Schizosaccharomyces pombe: one gene and its partner. The protein of the gene in region 1 purifies or fractionates together with the protein of each later gene. This does not show direct contact. Each region holds a gene or a part of one and is shown on either strand. Other genes may lie near its edges.

Evidence for each region.
Region 2: the proteins of rec15 (region 1) and rec7 purify together in Schizosaccharomyces pombe (affinity purification with western blotting; one study listed by BioGRID). This does not show direct contact.

What each region holds. Positions count from the first base shown.
Region 1 is NC_003423.3:2,154,529-2,167,016, forward strand, and holds rec15 (meiotic recombination protein Rec15), read left to right. Parts: upstream 1-6,958; 5' UTR 6,959-7,013; coding exon 7,014-7,218; exon of another isoform or gene 7,219-7,267; coding exon 7,268-7,605; downstream 7,606-12,488. Other genes in the region: atg2402 (autophagy associated protein), read left to right, coding at 745-1,917; ppp16 (acylpeptide hydrolase), read left to right, coding at 3,097-5,148; histidinol dehydrogenase His2, read left to right, coding at 5,389-6,708; SPOM_SPBC1711.15C (uncharacterized protein), read right to left, coding at 7,585-7,683; pwp1 (WD repeat protein), read left to right, coding at 9,750-11,300; ATP-dependent RNA helicase Prp16, read left to right, coding at 11,731-12,488. UniProt on the Schizosaccharomyces pombe protein: Required during the early stages of meiosis for meiotic recombination.
Region 2 is NC_003421.2:1,541,785-1,551,069, reverse strand, and holds rec7 (meiotic recombination protein Rec7), read left to right. Parts: upstream 1-2,000; coding exon 2,001-2,153; exon of another isoform or gene 2,154-2,210; coding exon 2,211-2,324; exon of another isoform or gene 2,325-2,429; coding exon 2,430-3,182; 3' UTR 3,183-4,019; downstream 4,020-9,285. Other genes in the region: tol1 (3'(2'),5'-bisphosphate nucleotidase/inositol-1,4-bisphosphate 1-phosphatase), read right to left, coding at 5-1,066; G-protein-coupled receptor Git3, read left to right, coding at 6,489-7,889; single-stranded DNA-binding protein Ssb2, read left to right, coding at 9,156-9,281. UniProt on the Schizosaccharomyces pombe protein: May be involved primarily in the early steps of meiotic recombination.

The DNA of each region.
Region 1 (12,488 bases):
TTCAAAGAACTATCACAGGTATAACGAAAAATACACAATATGTCGGTTTAAAGTTGAAATATAGTTTTTAAATATCTAGTGTTGGTATGATTTAAATCCGACTAATAATTTAGATAATTGAATCTGCTAGAATTTACATTTGGTCAATTCCACTTGCTGAGTAGATGGTATTAATTTTCGGAATTGCGCACAGCTTGAAAATATGCATCCAATAGAAAGCATATCTATTGCATATTTTCAAAGAAATTTATTTTAAGCTAATTTAATTCGAATCAAAGCTGCATTTATTTTTTTTACAGGAAAAATGTAACTATGTTAAAGCTTGAAGCTCAATAATTTTATGCATTTCTGTTTGTTTATCATGGCTCACGATTGTAAGCATTACGATATGAAAAGTTGTAGATTTCAATTCTCTCAATTGATAATTGTTTATTAAATTCCTTTTCCTTAACAAGTTTATCAATATTGCTACCGTTTTGCGTGATTCTTCTCTAATATCTTTGCTAATTGAACGCTTGACATAGCTTGTGCTCCAATGGATCTTTACGTAGTCAGCACCAACTACAAAATTCTGTGGAAATAGCAATTGCAAAAATATCTGAAGAATTTTGTAGTTACATTCATTGTTATTTGTTTAAAAAAAATCTTAATTGCTTTGTAAAGAACTTCGAATCAGCTGTATTATCTTGTACTTTAAAAATATTGGGTCGCAAGATTACCAATCTCTTTCATGACATGTAAGCAATGCTGAAATGTACAATTAAAAATGAGCAAATCGAAACTTTAAGAAGCGGAGATACATTCGTCTCTTATGAAATTGAGACTGAATCGGATCTGCCAGTTTTTGAAGATAAAAAGTTCTCTGTTCGTCGGAGATATAAGGATTTTGAGATGCTTCATAATATTTTGAGCCATGATTATAATGGTTATGCAATCCCTCCGCTACCGAGAAAATATACTGTTAGTTCTTTCTCTGGTGGTTCATTATCTCCCATATTCATTGCTCGTCGAATGCAATCCCTCCAAACGTTTCTGGATCGATGCTCCACACACCCTGTAATTTCCAATTCTATGCATATGTATCAATTTTTGGAAAATAACTCTTGGAAATCTTATTATCATAACGCGTGGATGCAATCCGAAAACACTAAGTCCAAGGGCAATAACGTATCCGGAGGAATTGAATCATCAATTCAAAACTTAGACCCGTATGCTCAAAGCTTGTATGAAACAGCAAAACAGCTTCTCCAAAATGCGGATACGGATCTCTCAAAGTTGGAGAAAACCTGTGTTCAATACATGAATAGTGTTCAAAATTTTCCTACTGATATTCCTGTCCCTTCTAATTTAAGCATCAGTAACCTCGATGTTGTCTCTGTAGAATTTAAAAGACTAAAGAGAAACAGCATTTTTTTAATAAACTCTTTTCATTCTAAGGTAATTACATCTATTCAAGATTTGGAAGATTACATGGTGGTTTTTAAGAGTTTGATCAAATCTCGTGAACAAAAGGTGAAGCAATTTGAACATTTCCAACAAATCGTTCAATCTAACTCTAATAACCCTGATCAATCATCACGATCTGACCCAAACTTTGTAGAAGCCACTCCCGTTGTGCAGCAGACACCTGAGCTTAAACCGTCGCCCAACACTACTATACGTACCTCGAGTTTATTCAGTATTCCAAAATTTTTTAAAAAAAAGCGGTACTCATTAGGTCAAGACGATGCTAATCCCATGGAGTTGCTTCAATTATCGTTTCAAGAATTATGCATTTTCAACGAAAAACTTGAGCAAGAGTTAAATTTTCTACGCGAACGTATCGATGTTGAAATGCGTAAGACATTACAAATGGTTTGCGATTGTCATGTGGAATATTTTTCTGGTATTCTTGAGCAGCATGCCGTGAAGGAATAATAGTTCCTCGTTATTAACCTACTACTGTATAGAGGCTTTTGAGTTTTTAAGTAAGTGTTTTATAACTTGGCGTATGATGCTTTAACGTTTGTTTTACAATGTGTGATGTTTACGATATTTTTTATGCGACTTGAACTAATATTAATGAAAATTTACGAATCTGAGATTAATTTATTACTTTTTTATGCAGTCGAAAACATGACTTATTAATTTTCGTTAAATTTGCTCATGTTCTCAAATTAAAGTACAAGGAATGCAAAAATGTAATGACATTTCTATAATTCTTAGACAACTTTAAACTTCCCAACGTGGAATTGTTTCTTTCTTTGCTAAAGGAATGGATGATGTCTCCTTCGTACTTACTTCTTTCTGTTGTGCATAGATTTTATTTTGTTCTGAGCTTTAAAAAAATATAGCTCAGTAAAGAGGGATTATCAACAGTATAGGTTTTGTACTAACAATAAAATCTTCTGTGCCTTTTTTTAAGTATATGCATTTCCCTGTTCTGCTTTAATTTTATAAGATTATAGTCATCTCCGTCCGAAGGATGACAGTGATTTATATCTCAAACTATGCTTCTCAAACATGATTGATCTATATAATAATACAAGTAATTTCAATTGAGTGGTTTGAATTTTGCATTTTTGATGAGGACTTCACACACTACAATACTTTTTAGAAATAACTGATGGGTTCATTAAAGTTCTTCAATTCTCATTATTCGGTAGAAGTTGAAGATCTGTAAAATTTTTATAAGACTATAAAATGATGTCTATTTAAACAAATATTATCAGAGATTTACCATAACTGACATTAATAGGATAAAGATTATAAGTTAGCAGATATTCACTATGACTATTTGCCCAATAACATGTTTTGTTGAGATGTCTTGGTATTTCAAGTTAAATATACTGATGAAAATTGTTTTAGAAATATTCAATAATAAAGAAATTGTTATTATTGTAACATGAATTTAAACCATCACCTATCAGTACAAACGCAGCCCAACGCTTTACAAAGGGCTGCACGCTAACACTATGCTGGGAGTTTATAAAGTCATCATATATAATCATATCTTCGTCAGATGGGTTGGTAATCTTTGCAAGATAAATTTCCTTTCCCCTTCATGCAAATTCCTTAGAATTCACCTCACTCTGGTCAAAGAATATATTTTTTTGGATGCATAGTCTTTTCAAGCAGCTAGTTTTTTTCCTGGTAATGACGCTAACTGCAGCTGACAAGGCTGCATTTGATGCGGAATCCATGCTAGAAGCTCCTAGAAGGTCAGCAGTAGTTAGCAATCCTTTAGGGAATCTTGGAATATTTATAGAATCGAATTATTCCTTTGCTGATCACAAATATAACTCTGGAATTTACCTTTTGAATGAAAGCACTAGAAACCATCAAGAGCTTTTAGTACACGGCAAATCAAACAAAGCGCTCACATGGATTACTGATTCAGCTTTTTTATATGCAAGAGAAGATAATTCTAGCTCATCGAGTATCCTTCTTTTTGACGTTAACAATCGATCAGAGCGTATCATATATAATCATAACTCTTCAATATCTGATATAAGGATCGGAGAAAAGAACAACCACTATAGAATCGTTTTTAGTTCAGTGGATAATTCGTTAGTTAAGGGACCTTCAAATGTTCACGTATACGATCACTTGTTTGTTCGACACTGGGATAGATGGAACACAGGATCTAGGAATACCCTTTATTTTATAGAGCTAGATAAAAAAACGGAAAACTCAAATTATTTTGAAATTTCCTCAGAAAAAGCTATTGATTTGTTGAAGGAAACTGGCTTGGAATCTCCTGTCGAACCCTTCGGAGGTCTTTCTGACTTTGATTCTAACTACGACAAACTTGTCTTTGTAGCAAAAGACCCGAAATTAAATCCGGCAACACAAACAAAGACAGTTGTTTACGAGATTAATCTGAACACTCGGAATCTGAAGTCATTGAGCACTGCGAAGGGTGCATGCTCTTCACCAAGACTAGCCAAAGATGGAAATCATATTGCATGGCTTGAAATGCAAACACCACAGTACGAAAGCGATCAAAATCAAATAATGGTATATGAGTCCGAGTCAGGCGCTAAAAAGCACATTGCTCGTCATTGGGACCGATCGCCTTCCAGCATTGAATGGGGGGTTTTCAAAGGAGGCGAACCAGGTCTTTTTGCTATTGCTGAGAATTATGGGAAGCAAATTTTGTTTTTTGTTTCTATATTTCACCACCAAGTTATCCCAATGACAGAAGAACACTCTGTTTCTTCTATTAGTGTCCCTAAATCTTCTTCCTTATGGCTTACGAAGTCATCTTTAATCAATCCCCCTTATTACGCAAAGATTAACGTTGAAACGTTAAACGAAAGTGTTTTACTCGAGAACAATGTCGGATTATCGCCAACTTCTTATGAAGAAATTTGGTTTCCTGGCACTCATGGTCACAGAATTCATGCATGGATTGTAAAGCCCGAAAGTTTTGATAAATCTAAAAAATATCCTGTAGCAGTGCTTATACACGGGGGACCTCAAGGTTCTTGGACAGATAGTTGGTCAACGCGCTGGAATCCTGCAGTTTTTGCTAATGCTGGTTTTATTGTATTTGCTCTTGATCCTACTGGATCTACAGGTTATGGACAACGTTTTACCGATTCCATTGCTCTTGATTGGGGTGGTAAGCCATATAAAGATATTGAACTTGGTGTTGAGTACATAAAAAATCATCTTTCCTATGCTGATTCTGAAAAAATGGTTGCCTTAGGTGCTTCCTATGGTGGTTACATGATTAATTGGATTCAAGGACACCCTTTAGGTCGTCAATTTCGTGCACTTGTATGTCATGACGGGGTATTTAATACCCTCAATACTTTTTACAATACTGAAGAACTTTATTTTTCTATTCACGATTTTGGGGGTACTCCTTGGGAAAACAGAGTTATCTATGAGCGCTGGAATCCTTCAAATTTTGTGAATTATTGGGCCACTCCTGAACTTGTAATTCATAGCTCAAAGGATTACAGGCTTACCGAAAGTGAAGGAATAGCCGCATTCAATGTTTTGCAGTACAAGGGAATTCCTAGCAGATTACTAGTCTTTGAAGACGAAAACCATTGGGTCATTAAACCTGATAATTCCCTACGTTGGCATAAAGAAGTGCTTTCGTGGATTCTTCACTATACTAAAGATTGTAATGCCAATGAAGATGAAACGTTTTAGATTAATTTTAATAATACAACTACGATTATTTAATAAATTTTTTTTTGTTTCTCTCGATCTTTGTTAATTCTATTACCGCGGATAAAAAGTTGCAACCGCGGTTTATCCGAAGACATATCAAATTTAGATCTTTGCTGTAAGGGAAATCGAGTATTCACCGATCCAGCCATTCCTTAGCCAACATTGCATTAAATTTTTAGAGAGTCGATTTAGACTTGACTACCTTTAATTTACTTAATAATGCCGGAATACGAGATTCAGGTGCCTTCTTATAGAGCTGCTGCATTAACCGCCGAAGAACGTACACGATTACTTGCAAGACCCATTCAGAACACTCAAAAAATTCGTACGATTGTCCAACCGATAATCGAGGATGTTAAATCAAGAGGAGAAGCTTCTCTAATAGATTATGCTTCCAAATTTGAAAAGGTTCAATTGAAGTCGGCTGTCTTAAAGGCTCCGTTTGACGACGACTTAATGAAAATATCCCCAATGATTAAAGAGGATATTGATATTGCTTTTAACAATATTTTTGCTTTCCATTCATCACAGCTGCGTCCTACAATTGCTGTTCAAACCATGCGTGGTGTAGTCTGTCAACGGATGTCTCGTCCTATTAACCGAGTTGGTCTTTATATCCCTGGAGGAACTGCAGTGTTGCCATCTACTGCTTTGATGCTTGGAGTTCCGGCGAAGGTAGCTGGCTGTCCTCATGTAGTGATTTCTACGCCAGTCCGAAAGGATGGTACGGTTGCGCCTGAAATTGTATATATTGCAAATAAAATTGGTGCTGAGGCTATTATTTTGGCAGGCGGGGCGCAAGCAATTGCGGCCATGGCATATGGAATATCCGGTGTTCCTAAAGTTAACAAAATTTTTGGCCCTGGAAATCAATTTGTTACAGCTGCAAAGATGCATGTTCAGAATGATTACGGGGCTTTAGTTGCTATTGATCTTCCTGCTGGTCCCTCAGAAGTTTTGGTAATAGCAGATGAGACCTGTAATCCTGAAAGTGTTGCCTTGGATTTATTGTCTCAAGCAGAGCATGGTTTGGACAGTCAGATCATTTTGCTGACTGTCTCTCTATCTCCCGAAATGTTTGACCGTATTCAAAAAGCAATTAATGATCACGCTTTACGACTTTCTCGTTCGTATATCATCAAACATGCTATCAAGAAGTCGGTTATTGTACAGGTTGACAATGTTGATCAAGCTTTTGAATGGTCTAATTTGTATGGTCCTGAGCACTTGGTCTTGCACTTAAAAAATGCTTCTTCATACATTCCCAAAATAGATAATGCTGGTAGCGTTTTCGTTGGTCCTTGGTCACCTGTAAGTATGGGTGACTATGCGTCTGGTACCAACCATACGCTTCCTACATACGGGTACGCCTCTTCTTATTCTGGCGTTAGTACCGATAGCTTCTTAAAATATATCACTACCCAAGAGCTCACTGAAGAAGGAATCCAGCGGTTGGGCCCTACTGTTATTCGTCTTGCTGAGTTGGAGGGTCTCACTGCGCATGCCGATGCTGTTCGTGTTCGGGGAGTTAGACTTTGAAAGGGGTTTCCTTTTTACGTATACCTAATTAAGGATTCGGCTTAAAATAAAATTTGTGTTTGGTACTAAATTTGACAAAGTATTTTTAGGTTATGATTTATTTTATTTTATTTTATATTTTTCAATTTAATTTTAATAGTATGAATGGGCATCCAATATACTGAGTAATTATCCATTAATTCAACCTGAAGTTAGTTGGTGTCGCGTCGCGTGTCTCGACTTTTTTCTAGTGAAAACGAACATTCCCTTTAACCAAACCTGCAATTAAGCGTTACGGGAATTTTAACGGAAACGATCATTAAATAATGAGTTATTCAGTTTCAGCTGCTCAATTATGGTCTCGCAAGTTGGCAATGCAAGCCGAAGATATGCAACAGCATCAAAAGTCACAGAGCAATCAAATTGCTAGTTGTTTGGCTGAAATGAATACCAAACAAGAGGTAGTTAATCAAACGATCGGTCAACTAGGACGATCTATTAGTGAAGTCCAACAACAAAATTCTCAACTAGGTAAGTGAGATTTAGAATTTCCCAAGTGGTTGGAAGTCTGACTTAATAGTACTACAATCTTTGAATCAAATAAACATGTCTATGCAGCAAGTGGCCTTAGGGATTCAAGATTATGCCAGTCGTATCAATAAGTTGGAACAGACCATGTCAGATATGAATTTGAAATTTGAAGCTTTACAAAAAGAACAGAACAGTAATACAAAAACACTAGCTGATTGCACAAGCCAGATGACTATAATCACTAAAAAGCTAGATGCAGAGCTGAAAAAGCGTTATATGACTACTAAACAAACACGAACAGTACAAAATCAAACTATGCCCAGAAGTAATACAACAACGAAAAAGCGAGTACTGGCTATTGATTTCTTAGCAGATGACGATTATTAAAATACTTAGATCAGCCTCATTTAAAAGCTTTTCTATGATATCAATTAAAATTAAACACCAATCAAACCGTTTTTTCATAGTGAGCGATGCAATATATTCACTTTCAGCACATATTAAACTTGCCTAAACGCTGTTAGTATGCAATGAGCAAAAACTGTTGATAGACTTATGAAAGCCCAAATGATTGAATACTAAAACCCCTTGAGTTTACAAAGATTTCTCAGAATGAATTAGCTTGGTCACCGAGCAGAACTCTCAGACGGCACTTCCTATATAAAATGTTAAGCTTCTTCTTTTGTCATCACAATAGAATTCAAGGAATTTTCAGTTTCTTTCATTTTTGAATACCTACCTAGTTGAAATTTTTTATAGACAGTCCTTTTTAAAAAACTTCAAAGATTTTTACGAAATTATCTATATGCACTAATATAGCTGTTTTCAGCGTTGATGGCACTACGTACGTTTAGCGGTTTGCCAAATTTATAGCTTCGAAACAACGTGACGGCTTTTATCAACTATACGAGAGTCGAGCTTATTAAACATAAGCTTTCGTTAAAAAAAAAAGATAAAAGCATGAATAAAGCTACATATTGTGATTTATGGATTGGTTTACTGGTTTTGCTCAAAATCATAGTAAAAGGGTAGTTTCCTATTGTTGTGTAATCGATAACTTTTTCTAACATTTTGCCCTTCTAAAACAACTTTTCATATTATAAGCTATTCGTTTTACTGTTTAAGTTTCAGTCCAAAAATTAAGACTAATTTAAGAAGAGAAAATTATAGGTGACTATTTGTTTCCTTGTGTTCGTTTGTTGTATAGCGAACTTTATAGATTACAGCAGTTAGAGCTGCGGCAAATTAGTTGACTTGTGTTCTTTGCAACATTAAACGAAAACAGCAGGCAATACACAAATATACGTCCGTAGCATTTATCGTACAAACTTTCTAACGAAGCTAGTATTGCAATTTTTCTCCATATAAAAATTCAATAAAATTAATTAATAAAATTCAAAGTATTGTTTTGTGTTTATTCAATCTTGAAATCATTTAAAAGTTAAGTAAAAACCAAAAATTCCAAACTCCATCTTAATGTGATGCTTCTGACACTCATATTGTTACCGCCCTTTTAATTCACTCAACTTAGTATTCTTATGCAACGTACTGTTAGAAGTGTTTACACTGTGTTGCGTGCGACTGATTTTATATGTTGGAAACAAATTTTAAGATCCATTAATTTTACTTAGACACCAGTGAGAACAAATACAAATATTAGAAAGACTAAAAAATTTAGTGACCGATGCTATTAGATTTCTCAAATAAATATTGTTATGTCAGCAATACTACACTACGCTATGATACACTACTTGCGTATCACTATATGTCACATGTTCTAATTATATATCGTACCATGTATGATACGATATTGAGATTGATCTTAATGATGATCTATTAAGATCTATATTATCTGAATAATATAAATAGAGCTACTGCTGAACTGAGGAACGAGGTTCAGTTATGAGCTATATTAGTGATAGGTAACATTATAACCCAGTTAATACAATACCTATTCTCAGTTGCTACTTATACAACCTGTGTATTGTAATATAATAGATCACAAGGAAAACTCACCGCAGTTCTACGTATCCTTAAATCAGATACCAAACTGCGTAGCTTACATGTTAGTTAGTTTAACATACCGCATACCGTTACATCGTAGCTCGTAAGAAATACTCGCCGTAGTTCAATGTATCATTAAACAGATACCAAATTGCGTAACTGACATTAACTTGAATTTACGATGAGTAAAAATACTTGTTGACGTAAATTAAGTTAACGCATTTAGTTTATCTACATGAACGTTATGGCCTTTTGGTCGAAGAAAAATGTTTTCTTAAGTTTTGAAATCTAATTTAACGCAGGTTTACGCTAAACGGTTAAATAACGTTTTTTGTAAGACACGAATATTTTCAGTTCTTCTTTTCCCAAGTAGCGGTGCACGATTTATGCCATTATTTACTCGTATCAATACGTTGACATTTACTTAATCTTTAAATTTTTAATCTCGTTTAGATCAAGAGTGGTGTGTTTTCTGGTTTAAACATTAAAGTAAAGATTTGCGGAGTAAATATTAAGAGAGGTGCAACATGTCAATAGTCTCGTCTGTGGCTTTTGTTCCTCGCGGTTATGCATCAGAGTTTCCCAAGAGTTACGATATTGATGAGATAGAGTATGAGCGAATTAATCAGCTTTCAAAGTTAAAGCTCGAGGATGCTCGAGCTGATCTCCAATCTTCTATGGAAGACTCAAATAAAGCCAATGGGAACGGTGAAGAAACTACAGATGGAGCAGAAGGGGTGTTGCAAACAAGTGAAGAGGTAGATGATGAATTGAAAGTATACAATTTGGATACTTACGATGACGATGAGGAGGAAGCTGAGACAGAAGGGCCCGCTGCTATGTTTAGCAACATTCGTGGATTGGCTTACCATGAAAATGGAGAAAAAGATCCATATATCACTATTGATCCTCAGGAACAGGACGATTTGGAAAGAGAGGAAATGCAAATATTACCAACAGACAGCCTTTTGCTAGCTGCGCGCACAGAAGATAACTTGTCCCACGTTGAAGTGTATGTATATGAGCCAACAGAGGAAAATCTTTACGTGCATCATGATTTTCTTCTCCCTACCTTTCCTCTGTGTCTCGAATGGCTAGATTATAAGGTGGGTACGTCTGACAACGCTCCTGGAAATTACGTTGCTGTCGGCACGTTTGATCCTGAAATTGAAATATGGGATTTAGACATCATTGATGCAGTTTACCCTGCAGCCGTGTTGGGTGCAGGTGCCTCTCAAGTCAACAAGAAAAAGAAGAAGTCTAAAAAAATAAATGATAGTTATCACACAGATGCTGTTCTTGCTCTTTCTTCGAACCGAAATGCTCACAATCTTTTGGTTTCTGGTTCTGCAGATACCACACTAAAGTTGTGGGATTTGAGCACATGCAATTGTGTCAAATCTTTCACGTATCATTCTGACAAAGTTTCTTGCTTAGATTGGTATTCCAAAGCTCCATCCGTATTATTGTCAGGTAGTTATGATAAAACTGCAAAAATAGCTGACCTTCGCCTTGAAGAAGCTCCATCGAGTTTTCAAGTTACTAGCGATGTTGAAAATGTTGCCTGGGATCAACATAGCGAAAACAACTTTTTCATTGGCACTGATAATGGCATAGTTTATTATTGCGATGCTAGAAATCTCTCAAAGTCCGTTTGGCAATTGCAAGCCCATGATGGACCTATTTCTTGTCTCAGTGTTAATCCTTCGGTTCCTTCTTTTGTAGCCACAGGCTCCACTGATAGAGTGGTTAAACTCTGGAACACTTCCGATAGTTCACCGAAGATGGTTGTTTCTAGAGATTTGGATGTTGGACGTGTGTTTACTTGCTCCTTTACTACGGACGAATCAACTGCTTTCCATCTAGCTGCCTCCGGAAGCAAAGGAGTCGTTCGTGTCTGGGACACTGCAACTAATCCTGGTGTTCGAAAAGCGTTTGAAAGTAGAGTTACTGAGGAAGTTACTAAAAAAGAGCGCATCGTTCAGTTAGAAGACAGAGGTGCCGGGGAGGACTCTTCTGATGATGATGACTATGAAGATATAGAAGACGATGATGATCAAGATGCTGAGATGTCCTAATTCTCTTGATTTATTTTAAGATTATAGCTTCATGTTTTCAAAAACTCTCCTAAGAGGCCGCTTCATGGGTTTAAAGGGCTCACTAATTGTATAGAGGATTTTTTGCATAATTCAATATTTGGAAAAAAGGGATCAGGTTAGTTACAATAAATTTCATTTGATTTGGTGTATGATGGTCTTTAAACTTTAGTAAATTCATCCACATTAGTGGAGTAGCAAATGTATGCATTAAGTGTATATTGGGTTTACCGTTACTTGGTAAATTTTGCCTAACAATTCTTTTAATTCATATGACAATTTTTATTTAAACATTGAAGTACTGATAAATTGTTAATTGTCAATTACTCAGGTTCATGATTTTGCACCTTTGGGGGGCCGGAGGGTCTGAGTAAGTTCGCCTTCCGCCAGCAACCTTATTGATTTAGTAGGTATGCTTTCACATAATCAAAATGATTTGCTATTTACGAAGTTAATAGATAAATTAACTGATTATATGTCCAGTAAAGATGCAGCTACATCGCTTGCCAGTCGAGTTTTGACAATTGCCAAGGGTAGCTCGTCCAGCACCGAGTTTTCTAATGCATTACATACATTTGGACGATTTTCCGATAATGACAGCGTCCTTATTTACGATTTATGCAAATCTATAATTGGTTTAGAGACAAATTTGGGGATTTCTAAAGATAAACTTCCTGGGAATGATGGGTCTCAGGTAGCTGGATTAGTTTTGTCTAATCGTTCTGGTTTGAAAGGCCGAGAACCCAAAAAATCCCAGCTTGGATTGGATGTTCTTGCTGTTCAAAAAAAGAAAGAGAAATCTCAAGTAGAAGGGCGCTCTGAATTATCCCAAGTAGAAAATGATTCCTTGGAGTCTATAGGAAACTATGACAGGGTGGAATTTAAGAGACCTAAAAATCCACATGAAAAACATTTTCGTCCCCTTCGTCAACGGTCATCTGTTGACGATCATCAAGAGTTTGAAAGTGAAGATGATAAATATCGTAGAAATTCTTATTCTAGCTGGTCTGGAAGTAATTTCGAGTCTTCCAATGGATCTAATCGTCGGCGGTATCGAACTCAAATGGAAGAACCTTTATCCTCAAAACGCAGAAATCGGTTTGGTAATGGTTCTCGAAGAGACGTCGATAGCTCTAAATATTCGCACGATAGTGATTATTCTTATGGTGC
Region 2 (9,285 bases), on another chromosome or scaffold:
CAGATTATTGGGCGACCTTTTGAAAGTGAGGGTCTTTAGATGTTACAGCTGCAGTAGCTTCAATTACCTTTTCAAAAATACCTTTGTAGGCGGCTATAACACCGTTATTGTTCTTAAGAGTTCTTCCTACACCAAAGTCCAAAGGTTTGCCAAACATATCAGAAACAACACCACCAGCCTCTTCAACAAGAAGAGAACCACCAGCATGATCCCAAATTTTTTCTTCAAATGTCATTTTGGTTGGTAAACGAAGGTAGATGTCACCATCACCACGAGCAAGACTAGCGTATTTGGCTTGAGAATCCATCTTGGTAGGTCCACGAGTAATCCCTAAGTACTTTGCAATTTCTTCTTGAGTTCCTTGCATTGAATGACCAGCCTCTACTCCTTCGCAAAATTTTGAATCCTTGGTGTTTTGAACATCTTGCATGTGCACTTGAACTGGTTCTAATTTTTCGTTATGGAGAGAATACTGGAAGCAACCATGGTTACGAACAGCGGACATTATGATACCTTTGGGACTTGTCTCGGGCTGATTAAAGTCATATGGAAGATTAGGGCATCCAATGGCACTTACCACAGGTTTTCCATTCTCAATCAAAGCTAAACAAATAGCATACTGGGCACCACGTAGAAATCCTTTAGTTCCATCAATGGGATCCAAAGTCCACATACGACCATTGCGACCACCGTGATATGATCCTTGGTCAATAATGCTCATCATTTCTTCAGCTGACTTGATTTGACCAAGCTCTTTGTATTCAGTAGCATGTTGGATAGTTTCTTGAACTAATTCCCAAACACGAGAGCAGGTTTGGGTGTTTTCTCTCAAAAAGTCGGAATCCTCTTCGCCAACAATTGGATCATTGGGAAATGCATCTTTTAACATAGAGATTACGATAGCTTGAGCACCAAAATCGCCAATAGTCACAGGTGATTTATCATCTTTAGTAAGTGCCCCAGCAGCACTCTTCTCCTTGATAAGTTGATTAAACACTTTTTCGGTCAAATAGCTAGCTCTGCGCACAGCAGCAATAGCTAATTGTTTTTCGGCATCAAAGCTCATGGTAAATAATTTTCTAATGTTATTTATTAATGGAGGTATGATTTTAGCACCAAATTTCCTGTTAACACGGAGTTTGGAAATTTTTGTAAACCTGGGCAGTGGAAGTGCGAAGAATATGAAATCAGCATATACGGTGTTTAATTGACGTTTCCACATTTAACCAAAAATATTGTTCAAATAGAAGAAAGAACTAAAAAATTGTTATGAAACGAGAAAGAGTTTCATTTTTTCTGACTAAAAGACCTTTTTTTTTTGTAAAATCGCAGGTTATGCTAACTTTTATTAAACAATAATGATTATGTAGTTTCTATTGTGAAAAGAGCATGTTAATATTTTAAAACAGGTTTCTCCATGTCCACATTTTAGGTTTTCATTAATTATACAAACGACACTACTAAAGTCTGGGTATTGGCAAAGCAGTTCGCCAACCCTTCCAACCTATGGAGAAAGGATGAAATATAATATTAAGGAAAAAAAATATCATTCTGATGGAAAAAACGCATAATTTAAAAGCAGTGCAAGTCCGTATCTTGCGTTTCCCTTTAACAGGCAAATATGCCTAAAATTTTTATATAAGTGTAGATACCAAGGATGAAATGAAGGCATAAAAATATTTTAAAGGGATTGATTAGTAAAAGAAGAAACTGCTCATAAAATTTCCTTTCTCTCAAAATACTGTTGTTTGAAGAGACTTGAGAAATTAATGAACAATCAGATATTCCTCAATACAGATTGAAGAAATAGTTTCCTTATGGCAAATTACAATCATATGTAATATATTGTGATAACAAGACTTACATTCCATAAAGTCTAGTCGTTTTCAGGTCAACTCATAAATGTAAACAAAAGTAATACACCGTGACGGAACGTACTGCGTTATCAGATAAATGAGGTTCAGTCTAACGCGTCTTCTCATATTCAAACATAAACAAACATGAACATTTTCCCAATTGTTAAGTACTCTGTAGCTGAGGATTCGTATACTACAGATTCCTCCCATATCAACTGGTCACATTATTCAGATGGAGGTTTTACACTCTCATTAACGTCTGGATTGCTTCAAATTCGTCAACACGAAGAATTAATTGTACGCGACATGAAACCATATTGCTAGAAAAATTCAATATTTTTAACAAACAAACAGCAAAGTATAAACTTGTTAGATCTCTGGCACCAATTGATACCGGGAACGAAGGAAAAATGTCTAACTCTGCTTTCACGCGCTCCGTGTATGAATATTCGTGCTTTCACTAATAATGTAAGTAAAACAAAAGCAGATTTATTCAAAATCACATTGAGGCCTCTTTTTTTAAAAAAAAAAATGGAGTGTTGATGAAGCGTATTTTGTTGTTAATAAATTTAGGTGATGAAAAGATTTCAAGTGAAATTCCCATCTGACGTGCATTATATGAAAGCCAAAGTTGAATTTGAGAAGCTAGGCCTGGTGTTCAAAGATGCAAAGTCTTCCTCTGAGAAGAAGCAATTCAATAACTCCCAAAGTCAATCTAATAACTCACAGGAACTTTCGTTGATGAACAATGCATATAACAAGTCATCGGCGCAACAGCCAAATCTTTTATTACAACCGAGTTATATCCCCATGACCCAAACAGCAACAACTGCTGTGAACAATAGCACAAACTATGTCAATCCAGCACCACTGCAGCATGTCATGCCAAATGCTGAAATCTTCTCCAATACACCACCGCTTAAGCGATTCCGCGGGGATGCGGGCATGACCCAAATGCCCCTTCGAAGTGATACATCAATTGAAAGTATTACTGCGTCACAACAACCCACTTGGGATGAAAACGTGGTGATAACTTCATCACCTTTTAATCCCAATCGTAATGCCTACTCTTACGGTGCAAACTCACAATACCCCATTATTGCTGCTACGCCGCTGAACTCTCAGACACAGGCTTCGTGGGTTGCTCAACCGGAGAACCAAGCATACGCAAATTTGATTCCATCACCCCCAACGACTTCACAAATCCTACCAACAGAACTTACTGAAGAGGAAAAGCAATTACGCTCCAAGGTATTATTCTATCTAAAACAAGACAGCTTCATCCAATTATGTCAAAGTTTGGAACGGGTATGGAACAAGATGTAGGAAGACAGACCAATTCAACTTAATCCCAAATTTAAAAAAGTAGTAAAAATGGAACGAAATCAGGATCGGAATGGTTATTTCGACAAAATTGATGTGTGACCACAATTTGGCAACCAAATGAGAAACTTCATTAAGTTCACATTCTTCGAGTACCGTGATAAAACATTTGTTGCAAATTTTGACATTATTTAACGAAAAGTTGGTCGAGATCTCAACTGCATATGATCGTTGCTGAGGATTAGCAAACAGAAACCGCCAACACAACAATGTTGAAATAAATTTCTCTACTTGTTGCATGACTCTTTTCCCTTAGGCTTGTCCATGCAGAGCATTAAAATCAAATTGAGAAGATCCCGTTCCGATCCTTGGGGTGTAAGCCTCCACCACGACACATAATCGGTATCAAAAGACAACTCTGAAAACTTTTTGATGGGGGAATTGCCGCAAGTACAGCATGAATACTAGTGTTAATAATGGGTCAGGTTACAACGGTTAAAATTGAGTTGGTGGTTGGTTTTGATAATTGACTTAACAATCCACGAGAGGAGTTCATGACATTAAGTACGAAAATGGTCAAATAGTTAGTTTAACTTCAAAAATAGACGAACCAAGTGGAGAAAGTAAATGTTCCGAGCACCAAAAAAAAAACATGATATTTTTTAAAGGGATGAAACAGCTAGAACGTTATGAGTGTAAAAAGGATTTTTTTTTTTTTTTTGGGTACTTCCGAGAGAGACAACAGTCTACAAAGCTTCACAATGATTTCAATGTCCGTGAAGTAAACCTTAAAATGTCGAATCGACTTTGAAGGGTTGCATGCGAATTATCAAATAATGTTTAAAAGTGTTGTCAATGGAAAATGAATCCCGTTTCCCATTTCACTTAATCTAGCTTATCTGCCTAATCGGCACTTAAGGTAGATGGAAACCAGAGAATATTCTTTTTTCCTCAAAACAAAAACGCCCCCGCTAGTAAACCTAAAGACAATACCGACTAACGATATTGTGATTTTCACTTGGTGGAATTGGCGGAAATGTTTTCAAAGATATGAAGGCATAACCGGATCAAACGGTTTCGACAATGCTAATAGAATTCTCTTCACGTGGACGAACCGGTTTCCAAGGAGAATAAAGACATAATAATAAAATTTAACACTCCTTGTTTTATTTCGACAATATTTATTGGTCTGGTCCGAATTGTTCATTTTGGTAACTACAACATTACTCCCTATTTTTAAGCACGTTTTCATTACCCCTAATTGAAACTTGATTCTATCAACTTTCAATTTACCGGGGCTCGTTTTATTATTCTATTCTCACCATCATTCGATTTTCGCTTCATTTCTGTTGAGGGACTGCTTCCTAGATTGGTGTTTAACGCTTATCGCAACGCATGGAGTTGCATTTCATCCATTTTCTTTTGAAAATAAAGTGTGACCTCTTCTTGTGCCTAATATTGACTTGACTTTAAACACTGTAAAAATAAACGCTGTTTTTTAAAACCATCAATAACTTTAAATCATCGGTTCCTTTTTTTCTTTTATAACGAGGACTTTCTCATTAACGCACTCTGAAATGATTCTTTTCACCCTGATTTTTTTTATGCGATTGTATTTGCTCCTCACGATATACTATACTAATCACTATCGTACTTAAAAAATAGGCCGATCGTCCGAACCTCGTTTGTCTGTGCAAAAACAACTCTCGTCATTCTTACACAAAAATTTCGTTTACAGCGATACTACAAATTTTTTTCATAAGTTATAATGGTTGGTGGTAGCACATCTAGGAGTGTGAAAGCATCGCCGATATTGTGTTAGTGCGACAAGGCTCATCAAGGGATTAGGGAAATTTTTTCTTCAATAGTCTTGCTAGAAAATTACTCGGAATTTGAATCGTTGTCGATATTTTTTTTTCTGAAATTACAATTGTTCATTGTCTCTGCGTAGGTGCAAATTTCTGATTTGCTCTACAGCTTGTGATCTTAAATCTACTTAGTCAATCGACTCTGTACTATTGACGCCTGGGCCCCCTCACATAATTCAATTGCGATCTTTTTTTTTATTCTTCTTCTGTGGACTTAAGGTGCGGAGACTTTGGTTTATTTGTCTCCTCTTGTGTTTCTGTCAAGCCCGTGTGCTTGCATATTTTTTCAGAAAAATCCCGCATTGGTACTTAACTACTGTACTTGCTATAACACCTTATCCATTAGTCGTTGAGGTATATTTGTGCATATTCACTACACACTCATACACAACAGCAAAGGCGGCAACTCTCCGCCATCATTACTTATAATCAAGCCAACTCCATCAGCCAACCCAAACCACGGCGCCTTCAATTGATTTGTCTTTTCCTTAATTATCGGTAAATTTCACCGATTTGATTTAGTACCGCTTTATTCACTGTACGGCGTTAATTGCAAGCCATACCGCCTCCGATTTCCCTATTCTTCAATATCCTTAAGAAGGTTCGCCACGCTATTAAGAGCCTTGCAAAACGTGCATAAGTGGCTTTGAGCTCTAAGTGACTTCACTAGTGCTTTCTTTATAAGCACAATACATCGTTGGTTGTTCACGTCAATTGCGCTTTTCTTCTTGCCAAGAGTGTCGAGACGGGACTGCGCTTTATTAATAATCGTCGGCACCGTTTTGCGTCCGGCTTTCCTGGTTGCATTCGTTTATCACTTTTGAGCTGCTTCGTCGGCCACGATTAAAGGAAAAAGCAGTAGATTTACTATTTCAACTTTTACCTTTAACAGTTTAATCGTGTGTCTACAACTTTCGAAAGAATAGTTGAGTTAATTGAAAAGTAAAGACGAGAAGCTTGTTTTTGGAAAAAAGAAAACAGAAACAAAAATAAAAGTACGGGAATTCAAATTCATATTCGAAACAAACTCGTTTAGTTTAGAGAGCTCCTTCTATATTGCCAGTTTGCTAAGTTTTTTACATCAACTTGAAGAGACTGTTTATATTCGCGAACGAAGCAATTTATAGAAAATCGAGGGTCAGATATGCAATCTTGGGTAATTGGATATACGAGATATACTATTTTTTGCACTTCTTAAGGGTAATAGGACTGATTACCCAAGTGGCTGAAAATTCTGTTTTGCTTTCTTGTTTGTCTATTTGAACATTTCTGAAGTCATAGATTTGTCTTTGGAGTATTCCTTTTTTTTTTGTCTTTTTTTTTGTTTTTCGTTCTGATATTGCTTTTCTTGTTTTTTACTTTCTCACCTCCTCTCCTCTCTTTTTTTTTCCTGTCTTCTTGAAGAGAAGTTTAAACTTTGTAATAAGGAACAAGGTTGCTCATGCTTCATTTAGATTATACGTTTAATGTTTCCGATGCCACGAGTACGAGTTCCATCATCATTGTCTCTCGCAGAGAGTTAGCTAACCTGAGAATCATGGTCATTATAGCTTCAGCCATATCTATCGTTTTCAGCTTAATTGCTATCTTCTGGCGATGGTCTCGTCGGCGAACAATACGTGAACAATTTCATATCGCTCTTTTTTCTGTATTGTTTATTCGTTCCATTGTGCAAATGATTCATCCATGTCTAGCATTAAGCGATCCTTTTTTTTGGGCTCCAAAACATCGATGCTTTACAATTGGATTTTTTCTTTTGGTACTTGTTCGGATGACTGATTATTGGATTTTTATCAACATATTGCATAATGCTCTTTTGGTGCTTTTCCCCCATGTTGATACTGAACGAAGGGGTCTATATCGTTTTCGGCATACTGTGTTTACACTGTCATTTGTAATTCCTTTAACTATTGGCGGACTTGCTTTTACCAATAAAAGAAATACATTTGTCAATTTACAAACCCGATGCTACCTTCCCTATACCCCTGTACGATTCATGTTTGGTTTGAATTGGTCATTTGATTATGCGCTAAGTATTGCAATTATTGCTTTACAAACTTGCATGTTCATCTCGATCAGAAGGAAAATCAAACGTTTCAAGAAATACTCACATCAACAAACAAATGTGTTTGATACTTTAAATGTCATTGATTCGTATCCTACCGCTCCGGATCAAGTAGCTCTTCCACCATTTCCCGACACCAACAGTACTTTAACATATACTCCATCTAATTCTCAATCCATTTACTCCTCGCAGTCTCAACCTTCTCCCTATTCGAGACCGTTACTATCCTCTGTGCATCCTAATTTGCCTCCTGGTTCGCAGTCTACTCCTGCTAATCTAAATCAATCAGGAATACATTTCGAACAGGATTTTAGGGATAGTCCAAATCGCACAAATGGCCTTGAAGATCACACGAGTTTTAAACTCAGTAGTCCATTGACTAGTGACGAAGATGGTGCTTCTAGTGTTTTGGCTGCATATGGAAATGATATGCAAGATGATCCCCTCCTTAAACAACGGAAACGCATTTTAAGTCAGTCTAAGTTTTTGTTTGCTTATCCTGCAATTTTTATCTTTATGTGGATTCTCCCTCAAATACAGATTATCGTTATACTTGCCCAACCGTTGCACTGCTCTGGTTCATGCAAACGATTCGCATTTGTTGCAGTCTTTGCAGACAACTTCGTTGCCATCTTTATTGCCTTGTCAGATTTTATTTGGATTTGTTATCGTGGCTACACGTATTTGAAGGAAAGAGATTCGAGTAAAAGTTATTGGGATCAAATAAAGGAGTTGACTTTAAAATGGTGGCGGGGTAAATTTGGTGAGGAAAAATAGAAGGATTTGTTCTTTTTATTTTTGTTTATGGTGAAGTCTCACAAGCTCCTCTTCTTGTATTATAATTTCTTTTTATGACGATTTTATTATCACTTTACTTCTTAAAATTTTCTCATAGCCTTTGCATTCATATGTCTTCCTTTTTTGTTAAAGCCATCCAGTGAATGACAATGGAATGTGAATGGAAACAACTGTGGTAAACCAACTAATATTTTAATATCTCCCATTTTTGCATCACCTCTAATATATGTCATACTTTAATTTTCGCTTCCCAGAATTTATTTCGAAGTATTAAATTTTGGCACTACTTAACTTGGCAAAAGGCTCGGATTGGAAGATGGTTTAAAGCTTGGCTGCTTCAAATTGATAAGGCCGCTCACAATTATCGATGTATATATATGTACTGTGTCTATGACAGTTTTCTATTCATCTCGGGGAATTCATTTTTGGAACGCTTAGTCGCCTAAACAATTCTTCCTTATATAGAATGTTTATGTTCAGCTTTACCAACTATCATTCACTCGTTTTCATTTTTCAGATGCTCTTACATTTTACTGCTTGCATTAAGCATCTGTCTTCAAAACTATATTCAAAATTTATGTCCCCAATACTATATTTCCTCAATACATAAAATGGATGGATTGTGCATAGCAATACGTTTATGTTCTTATTTTGTATATGTCGATGTGCGAATAGTCATTCACCATTAGCTATTCTTTTGTTGTGGATAAATCGCTTTTCTTCCTATACGATTTGTAAAATTGCGTCGGACATTTGTTCCATGCCTTCTTGTTACATATGAATGTGTTAATGTTTACAAATTTAATAATGTATTTTTTAGTTTTTCTTTACATTTGGTAAAGCAGAATGGTAGCACAGTATCTGATTGCTTTAAGCGTTTTAAGTCAATTGAGCATCCCGTGATTAGTAGGTTTTTGTATTGAAAACTATACGGTTATAGAGAAAAAAAGTAGATGTAAGATGGTTTTCTAAATAAAACAGTTAATTTTATTACATTGTAGTATATAAGCACGCTTGCTTGATTTTATTCTTTTCGGTACACCACCGCGAAACGCGACTCGTAACTTGTACTAAACACACCACTGAAAAGTAGACTACTCGTGGAATCAGCTGTAACTTTATATTCAATTATTTAAAAATCACTCTCTAAAAGATCGCAGATATATTTTTAAGTGGTTGATTTGCTTTTTCATCGCTCTTTAATTCACCCTAACAAACTTTCATAATTTGAGATAATACGTGCTCATGGCTTATGATGCTTTTGGCAAGCCGGGCTATGGTCCCGACTTCAATAGCGCTTTTTCTCCAGGAATGGGAGGAGGCGCTGGATTTAATGAATATGATCAATCGAGCCAGCCCAGCGTCGATAGAGTAA